2 linked regions of the Lepisosteus oculatus genome follow. The protein of the gene in region 2 purifies or fractionates together with the protein of the main gene of each other region. This does not show direct contact. Links are inferred from orthologs where the notes say so. Each region holds a gene or a part of one and is shown on either strand. Other genes may lie near its edges.

What was found. Proteins that work in one complex are often made in the same cells at the same time.
Region 1: the proteins of egfra (region 2) and pex19 purify together in Homo sapiens (co-immunoprecipitation; 3 studies listed by BioGRID and IntAct, with this or other methods). This does not show direct contact. The link is inferred for Lepisosteus oculatus from reciprocal best matches to the Homo sapiens genes EGFR and PEX19.

What each region holds. Positions count from the first base shown.
Region 1 is NC_090699.1:8,502,292-8,509,144, forward strand, and holds the start of pex19 (peroxisomal biogenesis factor 19), read right to left. Parts: upstream 3,025-6,853; 5' UTR 2,845-3,024; intron 2,435-2,844; 5' UTR 2,349-2,434; coding exon 2,297-2,348; intron 44-2,296; coding exon 1-43. UniProt on the Homo sapiens protein: Necessary for early peroxisomal biogenesis. Acts both as a cytosolic chaperone and as an import receptor for peroxisomal membrane proteins (PMPs).
Region 2 is NC_090701.1:19,951,296-19,959,020, reverse strand, and holds the start of egfra (epidermal growth factor receptor), read right to left. Parts: upstream 3,005-7,725; 5' UTR 2,647-3,004; coding exon 2,574-2,646; intron 1-2,573. UniProt on the Homo sapiens protein: Receptor tyrosine kinase binding ligands of the EGF family and activating several signaling cascades to convert extracellular cues into appropriate cellular responses.

The sequences.
Region 1 (6,853 bases), on a different chromosome or scaffold from region 2:
GCCGCGGCGCAGGGCTTGGTCTTCTCAAAGTCGTCCAGGGCACCTGATCAAAAACGAAAATTGAAAACCGTCAATTAGGAACAGAATCTAATCCGGTCCCGACTCGGGTCGTCTCGCTGGCGGCTACTGGGATTATTCAAACGCAGACGCTGGCACACAGCTGGCAGGAGAGAAGCAGGTTTGCGAGGTCACTGTACAGCTGCAGCGCCCGAGCCGAGGGTAACTCTTCCAGTGGTCCAGCCAAACCAGTAACCAGCCAGTTCTGTTGAGAGCTGGGATGGGAACCAGTGGACACACCTGCACCAGGGATGGACTTCTCTGCTTGGGTCCCACAGGAATTTAGCTTGAGACCCAAATTCAATTTGAAATGGCTTTATTGGCATCATGGATGAACTGAAGTGCTGCCAAAACTTTCAAGACAGACACTGAGTCTCTGCTTCAGACTGTGACAGGAGATCACATACTGGGCTACAGATCTTTTATTTTTATTGTTATTGGAGATGGTCACTGTCTAATCCTCACGCTGTGACAGGAGATCACACACTGTTTTAGTATTGAGAGACTGGCTTACTATCTGTTCCTCAGGCTGGGATATGAGAACACATTCTGTATTATTATTATTATTATTATTATTATTATTATTATTATTATTATTACTGAGAGACAGGCTCACTGTTCCTCGGGCTGGGACAGGAGATGACACACTGTATTATTATTATTGAGAGACTGGCTCACTGTTCCTCAGGCTGGGACAGGAGATCACACACTGTATTATTATTATTGAGAGACAGGCTCACTGTTCCTCAGGCTGGGACAGGAGATCACACACTGTATTATTATTATTGAGAGACAGGCTCACTGTCTGTTCCTCAGGCTGGGACAGGAGATCACACACTGTATTATTATTACTGAGAGACAGGCTCACTGTTCCTCAGGCTGGGACAGGAGATCACACACTGTATTATTATTATTATTGAGAGACAGGCTCACTGTCTGTTCCTCAGGCTGTGACAGGAGATCACACACAGTATTATTATTATTATTATTATTATTATTATTATTATTATTATTATTATTGAGAGACAGGCTCACTGTTCCTCAGGCTGTGACAGGAGATCACACACTGTATTATTATTACTGAGAGACAGGCTCACTGTTCCTAAGGCTGGGACAGGAGATCACACACTGTATTATTATTATTGAGAGACAGACTCACTGTCTGTTCCTCAGGCTGGGACAGGAGATCACACACTGTATTATTATTATTGAGAGACGGGCTCACTGTCTGTTCCTCAGGCTGTGACAGGAGATCACACACTGTATTACTATTATTGAGAGACAGGCTCACTGTTCCTCAGGCTGTGACAGGAGATCACACACCAGGCTGCAGCTCTATTGAGTTTCCTCCCCCAGTAGGTTCAGAACTGGTTCGGATTCCAGCAGAATTCTAGGAATCCTGAGGATCGATTTGTTATTTTGGGGAAGAATGTACGTCTGACCCCAGGCCTATCACTCTGCATTTAAACTACACACAGCAGTGGGTTGTGCCGGGGGGGGGTTTCCGAAAAGCACTCAAGTTTTGAGGTCGGATCTGTGATGGGCAGGAGCGACACGTTTTTAAACGCCGCGGTAGTGCTAGACACAGAACAGGGCTGCGAGTCGAAGGACGTATAGGGTCTTGACTGTTCAACATTAACAACAGCCATCATAACCACCAGCAAATATCGATTCCCAGTCGTCAGAGTTAACAATCAGGTGCATCAACTCGGGTGCATTTTACATGCTGGTGCTCCCGATTCCAAAACGGGACAGCGACACACGAGTGTAGTCTTACCTGACATGCATGCCTCACTTACTGCTATATACAGCAAGAGTATTCGCAATCTACTGAGCTGATATCGTTAAATGTGGCTTAAGTGTTAAAATGTTGAAATTCTGGCATCAACATCCGACTTGAAAACAGCAGACACTTCTTTAAGTGTCATTTTCTTCTCAAAGCAATGGCAAGTATAATAATAAACTGCTACTACAGCTTCAACTGCCTAACAGAGATAACAATAACTGCGGCAATGCTGATAGAACCAGCTTTAAAAAATAGAAAAAACCCTTCTTTTTTCTCTATTTCGCAAAACCACTCGTTTAATCATTCTGCGTTTCAACTGTCTTGGGTGACAGGTTACACCGTGTACTCTGTTCAGCAACCAAAATTTTCACACTGGGACGCCCTCTCCTTCACCGATGAACGCCAGCTACTCCTTTGAACATCCGACATTTACAGAAGAAGTACCGTCCTTACTGTCTAACAACTCGTCCAGTTCATTATCCTGCGCCTCTGCTGCCGCCGCCATCTTGAAAGGTGCCCTGGTTAGGTGATGTCAGCGCGGAAGTCCGATGCCGGCCCTTTGAATTCTGGGTGCTGTAGTTTTTTTCCGATCTATTTTAAACGGGTTTTATTCCAACTGGGCATATAATGAACTATTAACAGTGCAATAATGCATAATATAAAATCTGCATGTATAAAACAAAGTATTCAATACAATCATACAGTACAAAGAGACAATAAAAAAAATCTAAAAATTGTAAGAGATCAGGATTACAAAATTGCAATCCGCAGCATTAAAATTCGTTCGAGGCAAAAACAAAAAGTTTTCACAGACTTAAAAATAAGTGGAGATTCCAGCAGTGTCATGAGCCCTTAAAGGAAGAATATGCAATACCAGTACTAAGTTATTATTTTTAATAATTAAAGTTATGAGGAGCTCCACTCTTTAAAATCCCCCCGCCCAAAAAATTACCTGGGAACAGGCTAGTTGGAAAAAAAAACAATAACAACCCGTCCCTCACCCCTTCGTTTTTCGAGGATGTAGCGGTCGGCAAAGTTCTCATTGTCCGCTTTGCACCTAATTAGGAGTTTGGTTTTCCTGTCGAAAAAAAGAGAAAATGCTTTACGGATAAGGCGACTTAAGAGATGCCTGACTTCACCGAAGACCTTTCCCCTGTGTGAATGTGGCTTTTGTGAGGCTTCAAGTTCTGTTTCCTACTATTCATTTCCGTGAACGCGATGGCTCATAGCCGGCGACAATTCCCCCGGATGAAATTGTATTGGACGAGCTGCGATCCGTCTCGCTCTGAATACGGACGGTACAAACACAGCACCCCTGGTCGTATGACCACATACGAGATTAATATTTTAAAGACATTACCCGTGTATGAATACAAATCATCTGCTTTCATGAAATAAAGCGTACCGTTTAACCGCTGTTGCGTGTCTGGAAACAACATTTGTGTTCTAACGGTTTGTCTTATCAATAAAGTATTGAAGTATTCTGGCTTCATTAATTTATTCTTCAACAGTTTGTCTTGAATAAGGTACAGATAGAGAAACTGCGCGGGCTTCTTTTTACTGTCTCTGCTCTGCCTCATAGTCTGAGGGCTTTAACGGCATAAATGTACACATTCTGTACCTATAAATACCTGTGCTTCTCCTGAGATTTCACACTGGAGTACCTTGACAGGACTTGTGCAGCTAATTCAGTATACAGATTATTATTTGCAATAATGAAAATACTGTAGTGGTGTATTCAATACAAAAACAGGACAAACGTGTGAAAGGTATCTTGTTTATCTCCTTTGCAAATTCTCATTGGAACAGACAACATATGGAATTTTCAAAACACCTTTCTCTTAGCGAGTTACTTAGGGTTAATGACCTTTGTGTTCTCCTTATTTAAACCCTCAAATAAAATTAAAGACATTTGAAGTAAATGAATTAATCGTAACCAATTCTGTGATCCAGCAACATTTTGCATCAGAGTAACTCCTTCTTACTCCCAGCTAATAAGAGTACCAGGTACTTTTTTATAGACATAGGGTGCCTTCTGTGTGGAGTTTGTAGGCTCTCCCTGTGTTCACAGGCGTTTGCTCTGGTCTCCTCTCACAGTCCAAGGAAATACTGGTGTGTTAATGGGCTTCTAGGAAAGCCGACGCTGGTGTGAGTGTGGACGTCTGTGTCTGTGAGTGCCCTGTGACAGACTGGAGTCCCATTCAGGTTGTAAACCACTTTGCACCAGTTGCTCTCTGGGATGGGCTCCAGCTCCCCCGTGATCGTGGAGTGGATAAAGTGGTTTGAAAATGGATGGGCGATTCACTGGACACTCAGCCTAGGGGACAATCGTCCATTTTCAAAGTGGTTACTTGCCAACCACACCCACAGAATGGATCCAGAAAGAATCCAGAGCTAAACTCTGTGCTCTGTGGCTCAGGATCTGCGCCTGTGGCTGGAAGGTTGCCGGTTCAAATCCTGCAGCCGGCAGAGGAATCCTACTCCGTGGGGCCCCTGAGCAAGGCCCTTAACCCCAACTGCTCCAGGGGTGCGGTACAATGGCTGACCCTGCCCTCTGACCCCCAGCTTCTCTCTCCCTGCCTGTGTGTCTCATGGAGAGCAAGCTGGAATATGTGAAAAGACAGATTCCTAAAGCAAATTCATATCTTATCTTATAATCCACAGAATGGATCCAGAAAGAATGCAGAGCTAAACTCCTGCCAAGGGGTGGCAGTGTCACAGGATTCGTGTGGAAATGACGGATGAGCGAAGATATTGGGCAAATGGAATGGAGATGTTAAAGACAGTCAGAGTTCCATAAGAGACAGCGGGTCTAAGCCGAGGCAGAGACATGTAATGTTCCTTCTCAAGCTCAGGAGACACTTCCAGGCTGTCAGATTGTTTTCCTAAAGAAAATAAAAAAACTAAAGGAAGGGGAGAGTTCTACACATTTCCCCACAACAGCTCTCCCCTCCCCTTGACCCACCCAGGGATAAAAAACATAATTTAAACAAAAAATTACATAAACACATACATAAAAAAACAAAAAAACATAATTTGAAAAACAAACCATATTTCTAAAAATCCATTGCCACGGTATGATGTGTAATTTCTTGCACATAATTTACAGTTACAGTGTGGTTCTTTCTTTTTTGCCTTCTAGTCTCCAATAATATGAATATAAATGAAACATTCAACAATACAATAAAATGTACCAATATAAAATTGTGGTGATACTATAAAATATAAAAAAAAATATCACTTTCTACTTCCCTCTTTGACAGCCCCAGTTGCACAGAATACAGAACCCAATTTGCTGAATGAGCGCAGTGCTGTTCCTTTGTTTAATTCTGACAGTTATCTTTAAGTTGATGACCTGTTATAAAAAGATAGCAATGGCAAAAGGACAGCTCTGGTGTTTTCAAGTACTGTACTGGCACTGAAGTCATCAAAGATCACCAAGTCTCTTCTTCCCATTCCCAGGGACTCAGCCGAGCTCAGAGAAGAGAGTGTCATCCTACAGGAGCCTTGCGCTGGTCTTTGCCATTCTGTGGATCAGCACTCGCAGTGCTGGAGTGGGTTTCTACTGTGAGTACCAGCAGGGAGCAGTTCAGTGCTGACACTGGGAAGAATGATCTCTATGGCATATTGGTAAATGTATAAAACAATGCATATGTACGTTTGGTTGAACTTTCTTATACGAAGAGTAAAGTCAGAAGTGTTGCAAAATGCTATGTTGATGTATGCAATATAGTATAGGACAAGCGTAGAAGTATGATGAAAAGCACTGCTCTGTCACAGTCCACGAGAGACTTTCGGCTCCCTCTACCATATGTTAATAAAGTTTATTGTATAACCCTGGAGGAGGGGGTAGCTGTCAGCCGTGGACTCCCGGAGGTTTCCTGACAGATAAATGAGGTTTTTCTTCCCCCCTGTGCTGTGCAGCTTTTTCTATGTGCGGTACTATCTCGGTCGACATCCTACCCCTAGAGGGCACTCTACTTCATTCCTTTTCCTAGTTTTGTGTGATTATTCATGTTCTTCCGGTGTGTCTGGTTTCCATTTCCTATTTAGTCCCTGTGTCTCCAGTGTTCCTGGCTCAGCATTAAGGTACAAATGTCGCGAGGCCCGCTTAGCACCAGGTCACCCCACGTCCGTGTCCTGAGGGCATATGCCTCATCCCCAACACCGCCTGACTCCTGAGCCGGGAGCTGTGTTTGTCCCGCTTTTTGCCGCTGTGCATAGGGTCCCTACTGTTCATTCCACGGCTGGCCTTTCCGACATCCATGACTGCTCTATCTGAATAATGTTGATCTCTGGTATAGTCTTTGATCTTCTCATAACACTGGAAGGCTATAGAAAATTGATGGCTATTAAACACAGGTCCCCATTGCTGCAGGCAAGCTTTTCTTTACATCTCCAAAAGGTCTGGATGCTGTCGTGGGTAGTGTGCAGCTTCTATGTATAAATGTGAAACTGTGTGCAGCGCTACCTCACCTCAACTACCTCAACAGCTTCCAGATGTCATGCGTTTTTCTGTGTCCACACCGATTGTCAAACAACAGGCTTCTCAATCCCATGGTTACCACCAATATAGTGCTTTGGCCCTGGCAGTGTGGGCTAGGACTTGAAACATAAATCTAGACAATTAATAAATTTCCAGTTTGCAGAGGATATGCAATTTGTCAATGAATGTTTAGAAGAAAGACATTATACGAGCTCCCACCAATCACCGGATCAACAGTGCAGAAATACAAGATTTTTATCGGACAGTTCTGACTGCCACTTCTACATGGCCAGACTTGGGGGTCAAAATCCCCAGGGTATTAATCAGAGAATGCCAACTTCTCATCGCGCCAAATTGTACTCGAACATCCTTTCAAAGAATCCCACTCTAACCACCAATGTCACTTCCTGGGGAGGGTTCTGACTGGTTAGTCAACAGGTTGGATTACCAAGCTATTGTTCCTCAAGCCTAGTGTAGTAAAGCCTTCATTTTTTGTGTGAATCATTCAACTGCAACACCTTTTA
Region 2 (7,725 bases):
CACAGAGCGCACTGAGACAACCCGAAACACAGACATCTCCCAACTGTTCACCAGAGAGAATTGGCCCGTGTACTCAGTAACAAACCCAAAAATCACTCTCTGCCTAGAATTTAATTTTAGAGAAAACAACACGCATTGTCATTGTTTTAACAGGTTACTTGCATGCTGTGAAATACATCTTCAGAGTCTGAAAAGACAAATGGGAGTACAGCACATGAAGGAAAATACTGTACAAAGGTTTAGAAAAGTTACCTAAAACAAAAAAACACAGTTTCTCTAGAAATTAGCTGTTTTGCTAGCCACTTGTGGAATTTATAGCAAGTAGAATCAAACTGAAGGAATGGTAGAGTTTTTTGATCATGTAAAAAGGACATCAGGTTTTAAACTTCCTCCTAATCTCATGTATAAAAAGGCACAATTTGTACTGTGTTTATATTATATAAATAACTTTCTTCATGTTTACATCACTTCAGGTCACCTCAAAAAAGAGGCACATTACCTCACCGTTCAGTTGTTATCAGAAAAGCTTTTATTCTCATAATGGAAACTCAGAGACTACCCTAGACTAGAAAAACAGGCTGCAAGGCAGGACACAATGCCAGTCCATTGAGACATTAGTTAACCGAGTCGGCTTGCATTTGAAAGGAGGAAGATGGAACACCTAGAAAAGCCACACAAAAACACAGGGCAAGCATGCAAACTCCACACAGAAGGCACCACACTCCAGACACTGAACCTACAACCCAGGACCTGCGAGGCAGCAGTGCTAACCATAACCTTATCAACTTGTCATTCAACTAAAGCATTATTCCACTGGGATTCAGGAAGGAAAACTTTGACTCCTATCTCTTCTCTATCTCAAATGACATAACACTTAAGACTCTGATAACCCTGTTTTTGAAATAGTGTTTATACAATAAAATCAAATAGACCTTGAAAGAAAGCGGTTTTAACATTATTAATACTATATTTTGCATAATATGATGCGCATTTTAAGTAAATGTTTAGTAAACTTCTGTGCTATTTCTCTTCTCTGAAAAAAAAATCCTTAAAGTACATGTTTTATCTATTTTGCACGTCGCAGGCACAAGGTTTGCGCAGTTAAGTGCTCTAGTTCATCAACAAGACTTCGAAAGAGGAATCCTGCGGGGCTGATGTCTCCACTTGGTTTTAACTAATCCTACCGATCCGAGAAACCAATATTGCCTTTAAATTTAAGAAATTCTACCACTAAAACAAATTTCCTGCATTATTTACTTTTCCTGTATATTGACTATAGAGAACTCTCAGAATTTCAAGCGGGGTTTTTTTTTTTCGGATCAGCAGACAGATGTGCCATTGACTTTATACTGGCACAGTAGCGTTTGACCTACTACTCCCCTTACTGTGGATTCTGCCAGCCTCTAACAATGAAGATCTTGTTACACTCAAAGAGTTGATGGACAATACGAAAATGATACCAATTTAAAGTTTTCAAACACAGATAAAACGTATAATTGGCATTGCATTTGCTTTTGGTGTGCTTTATCTTTTCTGAGAATTACTGTACTTTCGATTTCAGGACGAGATGACTGGGCACTCGGAACACTTCAACCTGCTGGTTTATTCGGTGGTTTGTAGTAGTCGTCGTGCCACCTATTTTATTGCGAGATATTTGTTCACGAATGATCTGGATATGTTTTGTATGACATCGTAAACAGAATGACTTTGTCTTACCCATTTTATTAAAAATGTGATTTTGAAATTGGACATGAAGGAATCTTTGTTTTATACATTGTACACTGGCACTGATGCTTGTTTGACTACTGTATATACCTGTGCGACGTCTTCTTGTAAAATACAGTAGATGATTAACTTCATTTCATATAGTTCGCTATTATTTAAGTCCGCAAATACTGAAATACTTAACGTTTCCCTTCACTTTTGCAGCATAATACTCCACAATAGCGCTTCTCCATTCCTCGATTACTAAATGACTTACAACGCAATACATTTCTCTAAAACACCATAACGTATCCATCCAGATACCACGAAATAACATTTGCCTGATCATTAAGGAACGCATTTATTCATTTAAAATAAGAATCACTCCGTAAAAAAAGTTAACATATCAGTTTTCCCTGTTGTGATTATCAGTTGCCTTGCACTTTGCGGGCATCCCATTCTTGTAGGTCTTTTGAAACTATAATAATAATAATAATAATAATAATAATAATAATAATAATAATAATAATAATAATAATAATATGTACCTCTTTATTTCCTAAGGCTTTGCACTGATGTTAATTCGATACTCATACGACAAACGCAGAACAAATTCTAGTGTAAGGTAAGAAGTAATCTGCTGTACTCCTCATTCCTGCAACAAGGAAGCACTGTACCGGTACTACAGTTTCCCACGCTGCCTCTGTATCTTGAACAAACTACAGATATACAAACGCGAACAAAGCAATACGAGATTGTTTCAAAGCTTAGTGTATTAAAACTTTACTCCCGGGTCATTAAATTACTATTAACAAACAGTTGCATGTCTTCAGGAAAGGTCTTGTACAAGTTATCTTTCTTTCACTTACCTCTCTTGTCCTGTATACTGCAACAGCCAAGAGTGAGCAAGGAAGACAGGACGATCGCAATTTCGAATTGCATTGCTGCGAGTTTTCTTGAGCTCTTCGTTTCTTCTCTTCTCCTTCAAATATGTTCTTTTTTATTCCATACTGGTACTGACAAATTTTGTGTGGTGAATAAAGCCTCTACTTTCTCCCTCTCTAGCTGTCAAAGGGAAATAGTAGGAAATTTTGGGAAGGCGTCAGCGGCGTTACTTTTCTTTCCTTAGCACAGAAACTTTGACAGCTCCTCCTTCGTTCTCCTGAATTACTTGTGGCGAGAATTGAGCCGAATAAAGTCTCTCAGCCAGCGGAGGTTCTGACGTCACCACTGGGAGGGGGATTATTGCGCTGCAGATAAATGCATTAACAGGTAAAGTAAATCCTGCCGACTGACATGATTCACAACTTCTGCTCATGTGCAGTTGTGCCAGGTATGTTCTGTGCGATGTTGAAATTCACTGCTTTCCGGTATTTCGTAATTCTCCAGCATGTACTAAGCAAGCGCTATCAGTTTCGAACTCGCGAAATTTATTATTGATCTTCAGGAATACTGTAAAACGTTATGCCGTTTGTTCACAAACATCACTTTTGTAACGGAAATGACCACTTTAGTGTGGTTTTACTTATCCGCATGTTGTGTTATTATTATTGTTATTGTTGGTGGTGAAAGTGTTGCTTCCAAATCCTTAAACAAACAATAAAACAATGGCTTCGACAAAGTCTGTGTAGAGAGGATATTACTCAAATCAACCTAGAGAGAGAGAGGTAAATTAAATAGACACCCACTGTGATTTAAACAGGCAGTTCAAGCCACATCATAATCACATAAGTGCCTGCTGTAGCAGGTTAAATGTTTAAGCCTGCAGCCATTTCACAGACAGGAAACTGATGAAAACCAGTAGATTTTTCCCCCCCAAGTTTGAACAGTAACATTTTCAACAAGCAGGAACATAACACGAGTAATGCCGTTTTCAACGATACTTTAGGATCCACTGGAATAAGGTGTAAGAAGCTGTCTGCTCTCAAATGAGTGACAAGTGTTTATGTGTTCATCCTCTGCTGTACTGTATGCTCTCCTAGTCAACAGAACAGACATTTCAAGTTATAAAATGTGGAAAGGAAAGCAAGCCTGACATTGTAGTCCAAATGTAGCAGAACGTGTGCAGGCACCCAGAGAAGACCATCTGATGTTATCTCCACAGCCTGGGTACAACAGCCGAGCAACCAGACAAAGACAGCTTCTCATTCCATGCAGTGTCATTCGTCAACTACTGTGGAAAGTGGAGGTCCTACCACACCCTCCTGTCTTCTGGAGGACTCGCATTTCTACCCCAACCCCCACTGCATTGCCCTGCCCACACACACAATCCAGGTCTTTATAGCTGTCACATAGTAGTCACACACAGGTGTGCTCATCCCAGCACAGGAGGTTTACCTGGAACTTCTGCAAGCCACCACTGAATATAGTTTCTTTACGGTATACAGTAACTTGCAGCTGGGACAAGAGATAAGAGACTAGCATACTATAGCTGGGGAAATGCAAATGAACTTCTGCATTTTTGCAGCTCTGCCATGGCATGTTCAATTACTGTACATGAACCAAGTGGGGGAACATACAGTATAGGCAATATTGGACTGATCTCTGCTGAAGCATCCCAACTTATTTAAGGCCAAGAATACAGTAGGCTGAGGTTCTGCAGACCAGAATTACCAATCCCTTTCATGACCAAATGCACACAGCAAAATACAGAACCACAAAGCATTAAAAGTATATACTGTATAGTATATATGAGAGTTCTGTATTGTGCTACACTTTCAAATATTGTTTTTAGGTTGAATCTTGATAACTCAGAAAAATGTGGTCTTGTTTGAAGTCAAGTGTGCACAACCGAATTTGAGTTCTCATTAATCTAACATGGGAAAGGTGTCAATGTTTATGCAGAATAAATAACTAGACATGGAGATTTCACTACAAAAGGTTTAATAGGTGTTATGTTTGTTACAGATTACAGCCAGGGGCACAATTGAGCATAACACATTTTTAACAAAGTATTTCTAACAGTATTTTCTACAAAACTACAGTACAACTTGGTTAGACAGAATACAGTATCAATTTAAAAATGAGGTCTCTGTGAAAGTTTTCCTTTCCTGATGCCTTTGTACCAATATGAGAAGCTAATTTCACTGCAATTGCATGCAGTTGAATCAAAATAATACTGTTTACTGCTGCCAATGAAAGAACCAGCACCATGATAATATCAATGAATTGTGAGGGCTGTTTCCTTAGGAAGCAGACAAAATTACACAAAGTAATTATTTAGAATGTATCTTCAAGAATCACTCTATTCTGATGTACTACAGTACAACATCTAATATAAGCAGTCACAGGACATTTGGTTTGGGATTTTTTTTCCTCTGGTCATTCATTCATGAAGAAATGATGTACATTATGGCATAGTTTAGGTTGTCTGCCTTACAAAAACAGAAAGAAGTCCCTTTCATTGAGCACACAGAAACATTCTAATTTTGCCATACAGTAGTACTGTAATTTGCCATAATGAAAACAAGATCCAAATGCTAACTCTGATCCTTTACATTTGCACATTTAAATTGTTCATTTAAATGTCATTTAATGACATCATCATTTAATGATGCAGTGCAGACACTTTTAACTTGCAGTATGATCCCCTTCCCCACTAAGAAGAGAACTACAAAAGGCATATTTTAATCATCCACAAAAGGAATTGTTACAATTGAAAGTAATCTACAGACGAATGAAAGAACAAGGTACAGCATGCACTGCAAAATCTGACGTCAACTACAGAGCTTTGCGTCTTTTGGAATGTTTGTATGCATATCAATGTAAATCATAGGATAGGTTAACACAGCACAAGTTGGCTTCAAGTGTGTACAGTGAACTGGGGAGGGTTATCTTGAACACACAACTGCTTTTTCAGCCCCTTAGATTTACATCTACTGTAACTTTAGTTTGCACTAGAAGGTGGAGCTGCATGTCCTTAATACAACTGATAAATATGTCCCTGAAATTAAATTGTATATAAAATTTCTGAAACAAAACACCTTTGCAGTCATTTGCAAAGGAATTTAGGCTTTTGATTTCATTTATAAGAAACTAAACAATAATGATACTAAAGCAATGATACCGTATGCACTGACTTTAGCGAAGAGAAACAAACTTGAATGAAAAAACGAGCAAATAATCATTGTTAGCAGCACATGCAAATGGCAAGGGCACCATGCTAATTAAGTAGTTATTGTTAATCCAGAGTGAAGTAAAACAATTTTATTCTTGGAATAGAATGAGACAGTCTTATTAAATTAGCTATAAAACATACATTCACAGCTAAATTGAAACTAGCAAACAATGTTTTATTATTATTATGTCAACAAAACATAGGTAGAAAATTATAATTTATATATATAAATTATAGTTTAATAAAACTTTTAACATTTAAAAAGTTTATCTTATACTGTATACTGATATACGTAATTGTATTTGACTGCTATACACTATGTACTGCAAGTATGAACTTTTCAAATCTTAAAAAAACTAAATAAGCTAAAATGTAACACTTGTAATCAATTATTAACCTTTAGGAGAGGAGCAACTTCTTTTTTATGGGTATATTTGCATACTGTATATTTATAACAATCTTCTTGATTAGTCTTCAATTTGATTTTCTTTTCACATATGGATTACTTGAGAACTGATCAAGTACTTCTTATGGTACCGCTGTATCACCTGCAAGTACACAGCCAACACCACACTCATTCAAGGCCCCTCAGGACAGTTCCGGATCACCCAGACAGCATCTTGTACCTCCAGCAACCTTATTTACTGTATCTCTTGCAGTAAATGCCCAGCCATCTACATTGGAGAAACAGGAAGGAGACTCGGAGACCGCTTCAGAGAACACATAAGGGCTGTGAAGATTAAAGATCTCTCCAAGCCCATTGTTTCTCATTTCACCTCTGACGGCCACGACCACTCTAATCTCTCCGTCTGTGTTCTCAAAGACGGTTTTCCAAACTCATACATCAGAAAGACCACCGAAACTAAAATTATTCTGCAGCTAGGATCACACATTCTCCCTTCCCTTAACGACAGACTACTGTTCTTTTAAATTTTCTCCATTCATTGGAAGTTTCATTTCACACCTCTCTGCACCCATTCTGACTTCACACCTCTTGATTGGCCTCTCTTTCTGTCCCCTGCTCCCGCCTCTCACTCCTCCTCCCTCCCAACCTTTCTTCTCCCGCTACTTTACCTTTGCCTACTGCCCTGTCTCTCTCACACCTGAAGAAGGCTCCACGGCAGAAATGTTGTGTTCTCTTTCTTCTTTTTTTCAGCATGGAATAAACCTATAACTAAGTACTTCTTATGTTTTGTTTTGCCACATTTTAAGAGCATAATTTAGTATAATTACAACTTTTAATGTTAAGTGACATTTTTAAACAACATAACAGTATTGTTCCCTTCACACACAAATACACCTTTATTTTCCCTAATTTTCAATATACTGTATCAAAAATGTCAAACTGTCTTTCATTATAAATGCATATATCACATAGAAAGGACCTCTTCAATACTAAAACAAAATTTTAACATCCATTGAACTATAAAGTACACAATACAATTCAGTTAAATTGTAATATTCACACAAGCCAGAGATATTTATTTCACTGGTGTAACTGAAATACTTTTGTACCATTTAAAAATATGTACAGTATTGTCTTTTTATCAGAAATCTTTGGACCTGGGCATTCAATCACCAGTTTGTATTTGAATTAATTTTTCAATATAAGCATGAAGTCTGTACTTATGGATAAGTAGCTTTTCCATTAATCTTTTTAAATTTCGTATTTAAATAATGACCACACAGCTACTATTAAAGCAGGAAGTATAGTTCACCTCTGGAATTACAGTAGCTATGCATACATACCACTTAAATGAACGGATTCTTAATTGTGTGACAAAAGTAATTAATTTTTAAATTAATAAAATAAATCATTCTGAAATGAATAATAAAAGATAAAATAAAGAAATGATAACCATAAAACCCCTATATTGGTGAGTCAATTCAATAACTTCAATCAC